2 linked regions of the Schizosaccharomyces pombe genome follow. The protein of the gene in region 2 interacts with the protein of the main gene of each other region in a pairwise test. Each region holds a gene or a part of one and is shown on either strand. Other genes may lie near its edges.

What was found. The genes of interacting proteins can lie anywhere in the genome.
Region 1: the proteins of pof14 (region 2) and erg9 interact in binary tests that used the Schizosaccharomyces pombe proteins (3 or more experiments, as listed by UniProt).

Annotation. Positions count from the first base shown.
Region 1 is NC_003423.3:928,357-934,302, forward strand, and holds erg9 (squalene synthase Erg9), read right to left. Parts: upstream 4,117-5,946; 5' UTR 4,087-4,116; coding exon 2,704-4,086; 3' UTR 2,646-2,703; downstream 1-2,645. Other genes in the region: gta1 (glutamyl-tRNA amidotransferase alpha subunit), read left to right, coding at 1-2; mRNA cleavage and polyadenylation specificity factor poly(A) polymerase Pla1, read left to right, coding at 633-2,088, 2,132-2,249, 2,289-2,382, 2,424-2,456; glucan endo-1,3-alpha-glucosidase Agn2, read right to left, coding at 4,425-5,726. UniProt on the Schizosaccharomyces pombe protein: Squalene synthase; part of the third module of ergosterol biosynthesis pathway that includes by the late steps of the pathway. Erg9 produces squalene from 2 farnesyl pyrophosphate moieties.
Region 2 is NC_003424.3:2,244,064-2,251,919, reverse strand, and holds pof14 (F-box protein Pof14), read right to left. Parts: upstream 6,186-7,856; 5' UTR 6,135-6,185; coding exon 4,839-6,134; 3' UTR 4,792-4,838; downstream 1-4,791. Other genes in the region: ubiquitin ligase Btb3, read left to right, coding at 1-420; tRNA (uridine) methyltransferase trm9, read left to right, coding at 813-893, 943-1,548; byr3 (translational activator, zf-CCHC type zinc finger protein), read left to right, coding at 3,438-3,977; microtubule plus-end binding protein, EB1 family Mal3, read right to left, coding at 7,298-7,856. UniProt on the Schizosaccharomyces pombe protein: Expression is induced during oxidative stress. Plays an essential, SCF-independent, role in the stress response to hydrogen peroxide for survival, by negatively regulating ergosterol synthesis via direct binding to the squalene synthase erg9.

The DNA.
Region 1 (5,946 bases), on a different chromosome or scaffold from region 2:
AGATTTCGGCTGCTTATCTAAACTCTCGAAACATGGCTATGATAATCTTTATGAGCATAATAATTCTTTACTGTTTGGAATCAATTTCATACATTGAAACTTGTTTGCAAAGAGTTTTGGAGAACTTGTCATCAATAATTCGACAGTTTCCCTACAACTGCGGTAAATCCAATAAATAGATGTGGATTCTGAATCATTTACACTTCTCAGCAACATAAATTATTTTTACATTTCAAGTCGCTAGTTTATTCAACCAAAAAAAATGCATATCTGAAGGATGGAATTTAACGGGTAAGCTTTTAAATACAAAACCAGGAGCAATCGGTTTGTCAGATAATGAACATAGTGCACTGTCAAGATATATATGATAAACAGCAACAATTGTATAATTTACCAGATAAATTAAATTTGATTTAATCGAAATAAATGTCTCAGTGCAACTGTAAATGAATTTTTTGACATTATAATAAGATAACGCACTTTGTGAAATTGCGTATTTATGCCTTAAATCCTAAACGAATGCTAACCAGATCTACACATTTAGCATTAGTACGCTTTAAACCAGTTGTTTTTAAAGGTTAGGATAATTTAAAACAGCTACCTTTCAAGACTCCAATTTTTGTTTTCAAAGCATGACTACCAAGCAATGGGGTATTACACCGCCAATTAGTACTGCACCTGCTACTGAACAGGAAAATGCTTTGAATACGGCTTTAATTAATGAGTTGAAGAACCAAAACTTGTTTGAATCTCCTGCCGAATCTGAAAAAAGAGTAAAGGTTCTTGATGAGTTGCAACAAATAACGACAGAATTTGTAAAGAAAGTATCACTTGCCAAACATATGAACGAAAAGATGGCTAATGAGGCAGGGGGGAAAATTTTTACGTACGGAAGTTATAGACTGGGCGTTTATGGACCTGGATCAGACATAGATACCCTAGTCGTTGTACCCAAGCATGTTTCTCGCGACAATTTCTTTCAGGACTTGGAACCTATGCTTCGAGAAAGAGAAGAGGTAACTGACCTTGCTGCTGTACCTGACGCCTATGTTCCTATTATTAAGTTTAAATTTTTGGGAATAAGTATAGATTTAATTTTTGCTCGTCTTTCAGTTCCGCGTGTTCCCCGCGACCTCGAATTGTCTGATAATAACTTATTAAAGGGTGTTGAAGAAAGATGTGTGCTAAGTTTGAATGGTACACGTGTTACGGATCAGATTCTGCAGCTTGTCCCTAATCGTGCTGTTTTTAAGCATGCTTTAAGAGCCATAAAGTTTTGGGCTCAACGTCGTGCAATATACGCTAATGTCGTAGGATTTCCTGGAGGAGTCGCCTGGGCCATGATGGTAGCTCGAATTTGCCAACTATATCCGAATGCAGTATCTTCTGTGATTGTTGCTAAATTTTTTCGTATTCTTCATCAATGGAATTGGCCTCAACCAATATTGTTAAAGCCCATTGAAGATGGCCCCTTACAAGTACGTATCTGGAATCCAAAACTTTATCCATCCGACAAAGCTCACCGTATGCCAATTATAACCCCGGCTTATCCATCAATGTGTGCAACTCATAACATTACTTTATCCACCCAAACAATTATCCTTCGCGAAATGGTTCGGGCTGGAGAAATTGCTGACCAAATAATGGTCAAGGCTCTTCCCTGGTCAGCTTTGTTTCAAAAACACGACTTTTTTCATCGTTATAAGCATTATCTTACGATCACAGCAGCTGCTAAGACAGCTGAAGCTCAATTGAAGTGGGCAGGTTTGGTTGAATCTAAGCTTCGTCATTTGGTTACTAGACTGGAGCTTGTTGATGCTATTGCTTTGGCACATCCTTTCAATAAAGGATTTGATAAAGTGTATAATTGCTCCAGTGAAGAAGAAGCTCAACAAGTAGCTAGCGGCGTTACTCTTGAAGTCGCATATGAATCTACGGATCATGAAAAATTAGCCAACGATACAGTTAATGAAGAGAAAGCCGACAATACTGAGAGTAAAGCTGATGGTTCTGAAAATGGTGAAAAACAAATTTTTCCTGTTTACACTACAACATGTTATATAGGGCTTGAACTTGAAAAGAAGAAAGGCAAGATACTACATTTTGAAATTAATTATGCTAACTTTATTAGGTCATCCAATTAAAAGACTTGATATTTCTTGGCCTACCCAAGAATTTTACGAGTTGTGCAAAAAATGGGATAAATATGATGACACCTTAATGAACGTTTTCATTAAGAATACTAAAAAGTAAGTCATTTTATATATATACACTCTCACACATTTTAGTACTGCTTTACCTGATGAAGTTTTCGAACCTGGAGAAGAACGGCCGAAAGCTACTAAGAAGAGGTCCACTGCTGACACTGCACATAGTACAGAGGTAAGAATTCCGATTTAGCTATCCATTCTAACGATCTTTAGCAATTAAAACGACAAAAAGTTTCAACGGCATAAATACCCACACATAAGACTCAAACCGTTGCTTGCTTAACACTCACGAGTATATCTCATCATTCATTGTGGTCTTATCTTACAACCTATATTAATTGTAGTCACTATCTGTAGACAGGATCAAAAATCAAGTTCTAAATTGTCTTCTGTTTAGCAAAACAGCTTTCAATTTTCATAGAGTAATTAAGGAAATAAACTGCTTGTATATTATCGATATTGAACCAGTATTTAAGTTTTTTAAATTTACGGACTAAAACAAATTAAGCTCTTTGAAGTCTGACCAATGTATTCTAATATTGAACACATAGAAAATGACAGCAAGGCATACAAGGATTATAAAAAATACAAAAAGAATGCTAATGCCTAGTTTCTGTAAATCCTTTCGATACAATTCCTTTTGCTCGTCATTTAAAATTGCCTTCTGAGTTCCGTTTCCCTTCTTTTGTTCAGACAACTTACTAACATAGGCCTTTTCGTACATCTCACGGAAGCGCCGTGGAAATAAGCTTTCAGATACTTGCTCAATCTTTCCACATTCAATTGAAATCTTCAAAAAGTTGGGATCTTTAGGAGTGTTCTTATAATGAATATCACGGGTGTAACGAAGGAATAAATCACAAACATTCTTCAAGTTTACAGAATGTAGAATAATCTGGACAGCCTGACCCTTCCTTATCTTAACATTAGTTTGAAAAACATCCGGGTTTCTGAAAACTGCAGCTAATGTGGCAATTGCCATTACTTGTGGAATAGCACAGAAATTAAATATTTCCTGAGTCTTCAATTGAGAAAGATAAACGAGAGCATCAGTAGCATGTGTTAAAGCATTAGCAGTCATATCAGATAAACATTCAAGAGCTTTTTCAGAGTTGTCAGGAAGACAGAGATCACCGAAACTGGAAGTATACTTGGACCAAATTTCACGAGGCCAGAAATGACGATTATCATCAAAATCCTCACGATAATCACGAATGATGTTAACTTTTTGTAAAAAGAGTCCAAGAGAATTGGAAATAGCTTGACTATGAGCTAAATCCGGATCTTCTAGCTTAGATTGAGCAAACAAACGAGATAGTCCAATTCCCACCAATCCGGCAACATAATGACAATATTTGTTAAAGTCTTCTATAGTTTCTACAGAGAATCCGTCATTTTTTTCGGCAAGAGAGGCATAATAAGCCATACCATCACCCATTTCCTTAGTAATGTTCGAAATAACATTACGATAACCCTCTGACAGGTTAAGATATTCTTTTATAACCACGTCGAATTCTACGAGAAGCTGACGATCCTTTTCGTTAGGACCAGATTCATTAAACGTCCACCCTTCGACTTCAATTGTTTTATAAAAATCTCTTAGGATTGGAAGCTTTTTATCCAAAGGCAACGTCATGTCATCCTCTACTGTATCCAGTCCACGAAGGACAAGATAAAAAATCATAACAGCCTCTCTAATACCATTTGGCAATTCTTTAATAACGACTGCAAAGGATCTCGAGGTCATATCGAGTAATTGGTAACAACGGCGGATGTTTTGAGGCACATTTTCGTCTTCTCCATAAGAAGGAAGGTCATTCCAAAGCTTGTACTGACAAAGGCACCGGATTTCTTCAATGCGGTTAGCTAAACTCATTATATAAAACGCAGATTAAATGGTGTAGTTGGAAGGCTAAGTGAAGACGTGCTTGAGATATTGATACCACTTCGTTGGAGTTTGTTACGGTCAGTTGATCAGCAGCCCAAGTGTCAAGCGGTATCGAACTTTCAGGTTTATTTTAGTAGAGTACTCTTTGTGTTTGCACAATTGAAAAAAATAAAATAAAATTAATCTACATCAACTACAATTGTTGACACCAACAAAAATATTTGTATTAAAAAGTTATCAAAGCTACCTGCCACCAAAAAGTAATGTAAACTTCAGTCATACCATCAGGATTGACTAATTTTGATCTCCACTTTTAGTTTATGGAATTACCAGGATATCCTAGTGGTGCAGAAGTTGAAGTTGTATAGCACAACAGAATTGTTACCAAGAATATTTAATGGACCATACCCCTGAGCGATAACTGTCGTTCCATTTAAAATTTGAAAGAGTGGAAGACCTGCAGCAGCTGTGTTGTTAACAATGAAACTAACATTAGCTGACTGAACACCTGCATTGACATTGGTGGTACCTAGTACGGTGCCATTAACGCTAACGCGCAAAGTATACGATGACTTTGCAAAGGATATAACACTAATAACGTCAGAACTGTTCTGGTAGTTATCAGGTCGAGGAATTGAGTCTGACGATGCTGTCGCATTTTTTGAATGCACCCGGTATGTAACGTATAATTGCGATATTCCGCTGAAGTTAGATGGAAGACCTGTAGTATTTTGTTTATACATTTGAATGAAAAGGGGAAGTGAATAAGATAAAGGTGCATGCGTAAACGAATCAACCCACTCATGAGAGTTTGATCCTATGACCGGAAAGTCAGCAGCATAATTAGTGGGACCAATATATGTGCTTTCTCCATAGTCATTCCAAGTTAAAACTTGAACATAGTTTGGTTGGTCTTTAATAAGTTGCATCCACCTGGTAAACCATAAACCTTCTGAAAAGAAAGAATAATTTTTGGAAGTAAAGTGTGTATAAAATATTGGACTGACAGTAGCCATATATTTTTTGTTTGTGGCTTTACTATTTTGTATGTAAACTAAGTCTTCAGCATCGCTAGTAGGGGAACTTGTGTAATAAGGCCAGCAATTCCATTTGCAGAATCCATCGGCAACTGGATATGTCTGATAAATAGTACTAGCATCGAGAGGCCAAGTGGGCATGAAAAAAATATTGATACCAGCAGAAGCCAACGCGTTTTTGAATGCTACCTGCCAACCTTGGTTTACTGAAGACTGACCAAAATTAATATCCTGCCCAAGAAATGTGCCCACGACTACATTGTTATTAATCCGAGCCTGATGGCCACGATTAGCAAAAGTTTGAACATAGGTCACAAGAGTGCTAGCGGGAACCGTTGACATTTCAGACATATCTAGATTGAGGTAAAGCAAAAACTGAAGATTTAATGCATCAGCAGCATTGTACATCAAAGTCAGTTTGCTCATCATCCAACTGTCATTCCCAAAGTTGAGCACAAACCCATCCAACCCCAAAGAAATTGCATTTTGTATGTCATTTTGGAAATCACTCTGAGCATAATTGTACGTAAGACCCATCATAAAATGGGCTACAACGGCTTTATTCGGTAAAGCTGTTGTTAACGACGCCATTAAGTGATATTTAAGTTGGTTAGTGGAAATGCAAGCTGTCCGCTTTCAAAGGTCTAGCCGATGACTGCCGCTATACAAAAAAAAATTAAGTTATGCAGGTAGATTTGATAACTTGTCCCTTTAGACTCTTTAGTCTAATGTCGACAAAGGTTGGTGTAAATGCCAAAGAGTTATAGATGCCTTTATATACTGACTATTAAAATGTAAACAAATGCAAGTT
Region 2 (7,856 bases):
ATGTTGTCGTTAGATAAAGATAGAAGCTTGAAATCTTTAGCTTCTATAGTTATTACTAAACAAGAAGAGCCTATAGATAGTATTTACGATATTCTACGAACAGCTTGGGATACGTCTACGCCTCGCCTGGAGCAATACGCTTCCGAATATATGGCAAATCATTTGGAGCACTTGATTGACGATCCTGAATTCTGTGAATTAGTCAAAGAAAGTGCTGATCGAATTTTACAGAGACAAGAAACAGACACGATCGAACTCATTGATGATATTCGTTATTTCCTCTCAAAACGTTTTGGCATTTACCATGAGGATTTGTGCATTGATGGAGTTGTAGATACATTAACACCTTATGAAAGCGAATATAATCAAAAAATGGAGATGATTGACGATTTACTAGATAAACTGGAGCTACAAGCTTAATGGCAATGGTAGAAAAAATAATATTTCTTGAACACTTCAACTGTTTAAATTAATCATTATTAAAATTCAAATTCATAGAAAAGGCTTTATCTCAGTTTGCGCATTGCAAAATAAAGTAACGGGATACTTTTAGTACCATCACCGTTTTTTTTGTGTTACTGGTAGCTGTAATTTGTTTTAGTTGTTGCTTTAAATGATAAAGAATAATGAAATCCTTAATTTTGAACCATGGCAATAAACAAAGGAATGGAAATTATTTTCAATCTCTAATTTCGAAATTAACATCCCTATAACCCATCGTTTTAGTTTTACCATTTGCTAACCTTACCCAACCTTCGAGACGTATTTTAATCGGCTTCAAAGGCTACAAATTTTTACTTATTTATATTAAAATGGAAATAGAGTACGAAAATGAATATGTTCATCAAGTATATGATAAGATTGCAACACATTTCTCAGATACTCGATACAAGGTAAGTTAATACAACGATATTTAATTAAAGCTAATCAGTCATTTTGTAGCCATGGCCAGTGGTTGAAAAATTTTTAAAATCTTTGCCTTTGGGCTCTGTAGGAGTAGACATTGGGTGCGGAAATGGCAAATACCAAAAGGTTAACCCAAATGTTTACATGATAGGAAGCGATCGTTGCGTAAAACTTGTTAAAATAGCAAGCAATCTAGGTCCTATGGTTATTTCTGATGGCCTGCACGTACCTCATCCAAGCAATCGGTTTGATTTTGCCTTAAGCATAGCTGTAATCCATCATTTCAGCAATGAAAACCGAAGGTTGCAAGCTGTTCAGGAAGTTTTAAGACCATTAGTAAAAGGAGGGAAAGCACTATTTTTTGTTTGGGCTTTAGAACAAAAGAATTCAAGGCGTGGTTTTTCAGAAGACGGACCGCAGGACGTTTATGTTCCTTGGATATTAAAAAGGCAATATGAGTATCCAAATGCAAAGCCGGAGGAATTAAAGGGGCACGATCCTGCTGAAAATATTGCGTATCAACGTTACTACCATTTATTTCGCAAGGGTGAATTAAATGAGTTAGTAGAGACCGCAGGCGGCTCAATATTGGAACATGGCTACGACCGTGATAACTGGTGGGTAATTGCTGAAAAAAACTAAGTTTTGGAATGAAAATTGATCGTCATATCACCTTGATAGAACAGATTTTTCATCTTTCTTGAACTTGTTCTCAAAAAGTTGGAATATTTCTATTTTACCTTAATTACATAGTTTAAACTATTTTCGTTCGGAAAATGATTTTACAGATTTTTTTTTTTAATCTAACTGGTAGAAGAATTTCTGTGTTTTATGTCTCGATTATTAATTTACTGCGTTTAATTATAAAATGAAGCGATGAACTAGTCATTCCCAAGGGCGAAAAGCGGTCAAATGTACTTGTTTTCAAAAAAAAAATTGACGGTTTCTTAGTATGACAATAGTGATAATTTGATATCGATTGAAGTGGTTTTCTGTTAAATGATACTATACATCTGTGAATGGGTTGGAAATTAAAATGTTAATCTAATTTTTGTTAATAGTTTATTCACGTAGGTTAGTGAAATGACGGTTCAAAGGTTGCATAAGTATTGGAAATCGATGAAGTATGTCAAGCAAAAACATTTTGTAAAATGAATAAATTTCAAAAAAAAAATATTTTTTTTTAGAATAATTTGGAATAATCATGCATTTCTGTATATGTTAAACTTTTAATATAAATCTGTGCTTGAGTATGAAATGAATTATCTAAAAAACAGTGTTTGAATAAACGTGTCCCAATAATAATGATAAATTGTAAAAAATATGTAGGAATTATACAAAATTTATTAAGCCACAAATAGGAATAGTAATTAACGTACAAAATTTGATTTGAATTTAATAATTTAAATGCGACTAAGTTACTTGCTTTTCTATTTACCAAAACGAATTCCAAAGAGAAAAAAATAAGCAATTAATAGTTTGGCAAAACACTTACTGCATGAATTAAATTAATAATCCGACATGCATTAATAAATTCTTGGTTGCTAAATTCAAATAAAGAAGTAATCAGCAGTTCTTTGCTCCTTAGTCGAATGATTACTTTTTTTCTATTCCATTCACCTTCTATTTCGTATTTGTTATATTCATAAAGTCTAGGAAAAATATAAAAAGATTTCCAAGATCCTAATTATCTATTTAAAATTATTATGTTGATATATCGTCGCGTAATATAATTAAATCTTTTTTTATCGAAACCTCAACAAGCTTTGGTGGTTTAGTGGTATAATGAATCGTTGCCATCGATTCGACCCGGGTTCGATTCCCGGCCAAAGCATTATTTTTTACCAAAACAATTTTTGGATTTATTTTGATTTGTTTGAATTCAAGCACGTGGTACTCTGGATACCTAAAATATGTACAACTATAGATTCCAGTAATATATATATTGCAAATGACTGAACTCAATTCTTCAGGCGCTATACTGTGAATGCAATGTTTCTACGATTTTTTGCCATGAAAAATAACGATGCTTATTTACCACGATTCAAAGTAACTAAGCGTTTGGTTATATTCGCTTGGAATACCAATCTACATTACAATGAGGAGGCAATAATTGCTATGATATAAAGCTATTGTCAGAACCAAAAAGTCCTGAGTTTATGGGAAAGAGTGAGCTTACTAGTTATGTAAGATATTACACTCTCTATCACAAAAAAAAGCAAGTATGCGGTAACAATTCTTCGATTCCATGACTCTTTTTAATTGGCAAGTTGTTGTGCTTCTTCCGTCGGTCTAAAACAACTAAATTCTTATTTATTGACATCTTTAAGACCAAAATAGTCGCTTGTCAAATTCGTTACTTCCAAGTGCCACCATGTGCTTGTTACTTAAGAAAAATTTAGACAGTCACACGCTCCTATTTATTAAGGAAGTGTAGTCAGGTTAGCGAGAAAAAGTACATTTTTTCTGTTTTTTTTTATTTTTCTTAATTTTCTTTAATAATTTTTTTTAATTGTAAAGGAGTTGTTAAGATGGAGTCTGAATCTGTTCCCACCGTTCCTCAAACCACTCGTCCCGGTCCTCGATGCTATAACTGTGGTGAAAACGGTCATCAAGCTCGTGAGTGCACCAAGGGTTCAATCTGCTACAATTGCAATCAGACCGGTCACAAGGCTAGCGAATGCACTGAGCCTCAACAGGAAAAAACTTGCTATGCTTGTGGTACCGCCGGACATCTCGTTCGTGATTGCCCCAGCAGCCCTAACCCCCGTCAAGGTGCGGAATGTTACAAGTGTGGTCGTGTTGGTCACATTGCTAGAGACTGTCGTACAAATGGTCAACAAAGTGGCGGACGATTTGGTGGTCATCGCTCCAACATGAATTGCTATGCTTGTGGCTCTTATGGCCATCAAGCCCGTGATTGCACTATGGGCGTGAAATGCTACTCTTGTGGTAAGATTGGACACCGCAGCTTTGAATGTCAACAAGCTTCAGATGGTCAACTTTGTTACAAGTGTAATCAACCAGGCCACATCGCCGTCAATTGCACCTCTCCTGTAATTGAGGCATAAGTGCTTGCTATTTATAACCCTTTGTCGTGGTATGAAGATATTTTTTCTTTTTCTTGTCCGATTTATTCAAATTTGGCAAGTGGTCATATTCTTACAAATCCCTTGAGCGATCTGCGCATTTAGTTATATAGAAAGCATAATTTTACATCCTTCTCTTCGTCCTTATTTTTTCGCACACTTCTGAATTCATTTTTGCTTCGGATCCTTAAGGATATTTGTACTGAAGCCTGAGATGCACCACCTCATTTCTCTCCTGTTTTCTCGTCACCGCTAAAAGATGGATGTTGATAGATTAAATCCTTTTTGTTTCAGTTTATTTTTACTGTTGTAGTGGCATTTTTTTCCTATTATTTTCAATTCACGAGCTTGAAATAAAAAAATTTGGAATATGGGAATTCTATAAATGATAGAAATTCCTTGGTCCATTTGGATGATTTGTTTTTTTTAGTGCCATTATTTAATGGAACTTTTGGTTTTATATGACAACTCACTATCAATTTCATTTACGAAATGGGTTTTGGCGTTTTCGTATTTTTTGAGTAACTTAATTTACCTTATGTGTTTGTACAGTAAATGTTAATGCTCTGACTTATTAACAACTTCTCTACTTCTTAATCTCTCATGGTATCTGTATAACAATATTTACAAAAGGGTTCTGGGTCATTTGCCTAATTAATATTATTTTTTCCTTGCATTGCTTACTCTGCTTTTCAAAAATGAACTGTAATTGAAAACGGGTGAACGATAAATGTAACAGTTGTCATAGACAAAAAAAAATTTATTAACTTCAATTTTACTTTCATACAAATTTGACATCGAATTTGTCTATTACATAAAATCGTAGTATATTAATCCAAAATTTTATTGTTCACATAACTCAGCCAACTGCGCTCGAAACAAACGAAATAAACTTCTTGCAAATTCACCTTGAGAATGGTAAATACTCTTGAACGCTTTCTCTTCATCCCTAGCCAATTGAACATGCTCCGATAACCAAGAGGGGAATTTTTGACCAGGCCTGCTTATATATCCCACCCCTAAACGATCTTTCATAACATCAAATTTGTATCTACTTACAGGTTCATAAAAGTCAATGATTGCTTCTAAGCATTGATCACATATATTGGTAGCAACAGAAGGCCGGTAAAATGAGGTAATGCAATCTTTAAACTTAGTTAACTTCGGTATTCTATTGCAAAGCACACAACGGCCTACAAGATTGCATGCTAGCTCTATATATGTAGACTCATCGCATGACTGTGTTCCATCTCCTGTTTGGATGATCGAGGAGGCTAACGAAGAAGTATCAGAATGAATTGTCTTTGCTGCATAACTTTGATAACTTGGATCAAGAAAAATTGGAATGATTGTAGGGATATCGGTAAATTTGGCCACAGCACTTGTGTTTATAGACTCAGAGCAAGTTACAGCCGAATTTGGATTTTTTTTATGCACCTTAAGTAATCGTTTCCAAAATGAAACATTTCGAGGGCTGAGAATCTTTTTAAAACGTAAACATGTATTGGGGAGGTCATGGATAAGGGTATGTCGTTGTTTTCTATATGAAAATGCAAAGGGTAACTTCTCTATGTATGAAGCATCATAGCAATATGAAAAAATCAGCTGTAAAATTTCATCCGGACAATCCAAAATTTTTGCATACTTAGGACTCTCAGATGAGTATCTATAATATAAATTTGACTTAGGTGAAGCAACAGTTAAATTTAATGAAGAGTCAAGATTATCGCTACTTGGTATTTTTCTGAAAGGCAGGACTTGGGTAGTATACTCGGCATAATCATTAATCAATTCTAGAAGATTTCTACTTAGTGAGCATTTATCAAGTAGACCTTCATAATCAATCATTGCTGAAGCATGCGAATCTCCATCAACAACCAACGTATTCCAGACACCATTCCAATTGTCTTCTTCATCAAAATTAGAACAGATCGAAACCAATCGCTTCATGGCTCTTACTCTTGCTAAACAATGCACAAATTCATCAAATGTTTGAGGCTTGAAATATGAGCTTCTTATTTTTTTGCGAGTATCGATTAGTATTCTTAAAAACGATTCATCTTGATCCAAGTGCTCATTCACGCTGGTATTCATATAGCATGTATGCGTTTTGCAATTTTGAAATGAAAATTGAAGCATTTAGTTTGATTAAGTAGTAGTACCCATATACAGTTCGTTGATGGTGATGTTGGCTGACTGCAAGCTCAATTTGCCGGTTATCAACATTGCATAATTATACATCACATGGTTACTTACTCATACCGGCCTGAGAATTAGGTGAATAAAAACCTATATAGAAAACAGAAGTTTTATAATAAAAACTAGTGGTATACTTCGCATATTATACTAATGTGGATCGAATTTAATTCTTTGTGTGAAAGACGTAACATTGGTGTTATCAGATCAGATAAGACAAATTGATCAAACCCCCCGGCGGGGGGGGGGAAACTTGGTGCTTTGAATTTCATTATTGAGATTTTTGCTTTGCAAATTTAAAGAATTGTGAATGAAAGAGTTTTATTTATTATTAACGACGTGTAGCTGAATTGCATAACTTTAAGCTTGATTTAAAAATTTGCTATTTAAAGTTGATATAGTTCGAGTAAAAAAAATAAACTAACAAAGGTACCTCAAAATTTTACATACTTTACTATTGCTAGTAAAAATGACAAGCATAAACACCTACGGTTTATAAAGTCAACAATATATATATATAAGATAAGGATAAGTAATTAAACTTCTACATCGCTGAGACGTACGCAGTTGAAACGTTTTAACATAATCAGATCATTGAAAGTAAATATTTTACTCTTTATTTTGCTCATATATGAAAAAGGCGATTTTAAAATCGGATGCAAATTTTTTTTAAATCGAGTAGATATTTCAGCATCATTGAATAAAATTCTGAAACATCCATTCATACTTTTCAACATTTAATTATAAAAAAGTTTGGTTCGTAATCACTGAAACGTAGAAGCAGGATAAATTTAAATTATCCTTGAAGCTTTTTTAAAGAAATAAGAAAAATATCCTATTTGGGATAATTAGACGGCTCAAACACTAAGGATTAAAGTTTATTACAATTAGCATTTGTAGTATACAGAATGCTATATGTTAAGGAAAAAGAACGAAATTAAATGAATTTGGAGGTCATGAGGCACGCAACATTCGATCAGGTTAAATAAACAATAAGGAATAAGAAGAACTCCCTATAAAAATAAATATTTCGGTTTCCTTTATTTACGTTGTTACAGTGAAAAATGAAGAATTTGCAACAAAAAAAAACTTTAACTTAGTACTTTTTAAAACGTGATATTCTCATCGTCATCAACCTCTAAACTTTGTAGCCTAGCATGTACGAAATCTGGTGCAGAGGGAACGCGTTGAGTTTCTGAGTCTTTTAGGTCAGTCATTTGAGCCTCTTCAGCGACGTTGTTAGTATCATGGTCCGTAAGGGCGGTAGTTAAATCTGCGGGTTGATCAGGTGGTAACTCAAAACCATCCTCAGTAGAATAAAGTATTGCTTGAATACGCTCCAACATATTTTCCATTGACATAGGAGAAGTGGTCAAATGAGTTTGTACAAGTATTTCAATTTCTCGAAGCTTGTTAAAATAGAAATCACGTTCTCTCTCCAAACCAAACATCGTCTCATTAACTTCGTACAACTGTGTTTCAAGACTAGTGATTTGTTGTTGTGCTTGCTTTGCCCTTAACACTGCCGCAGTATTTGCAGTCGAAGACACGTTATTGTTGTTTGCTGATGACTTAGTCATTGAAGGTGTAGAACTACCAGAAGAAACCTGACGGCGACGAGAAGGGCCAGTTGCTCCTGCAGAGGAATTCATAACACGAGTGTTA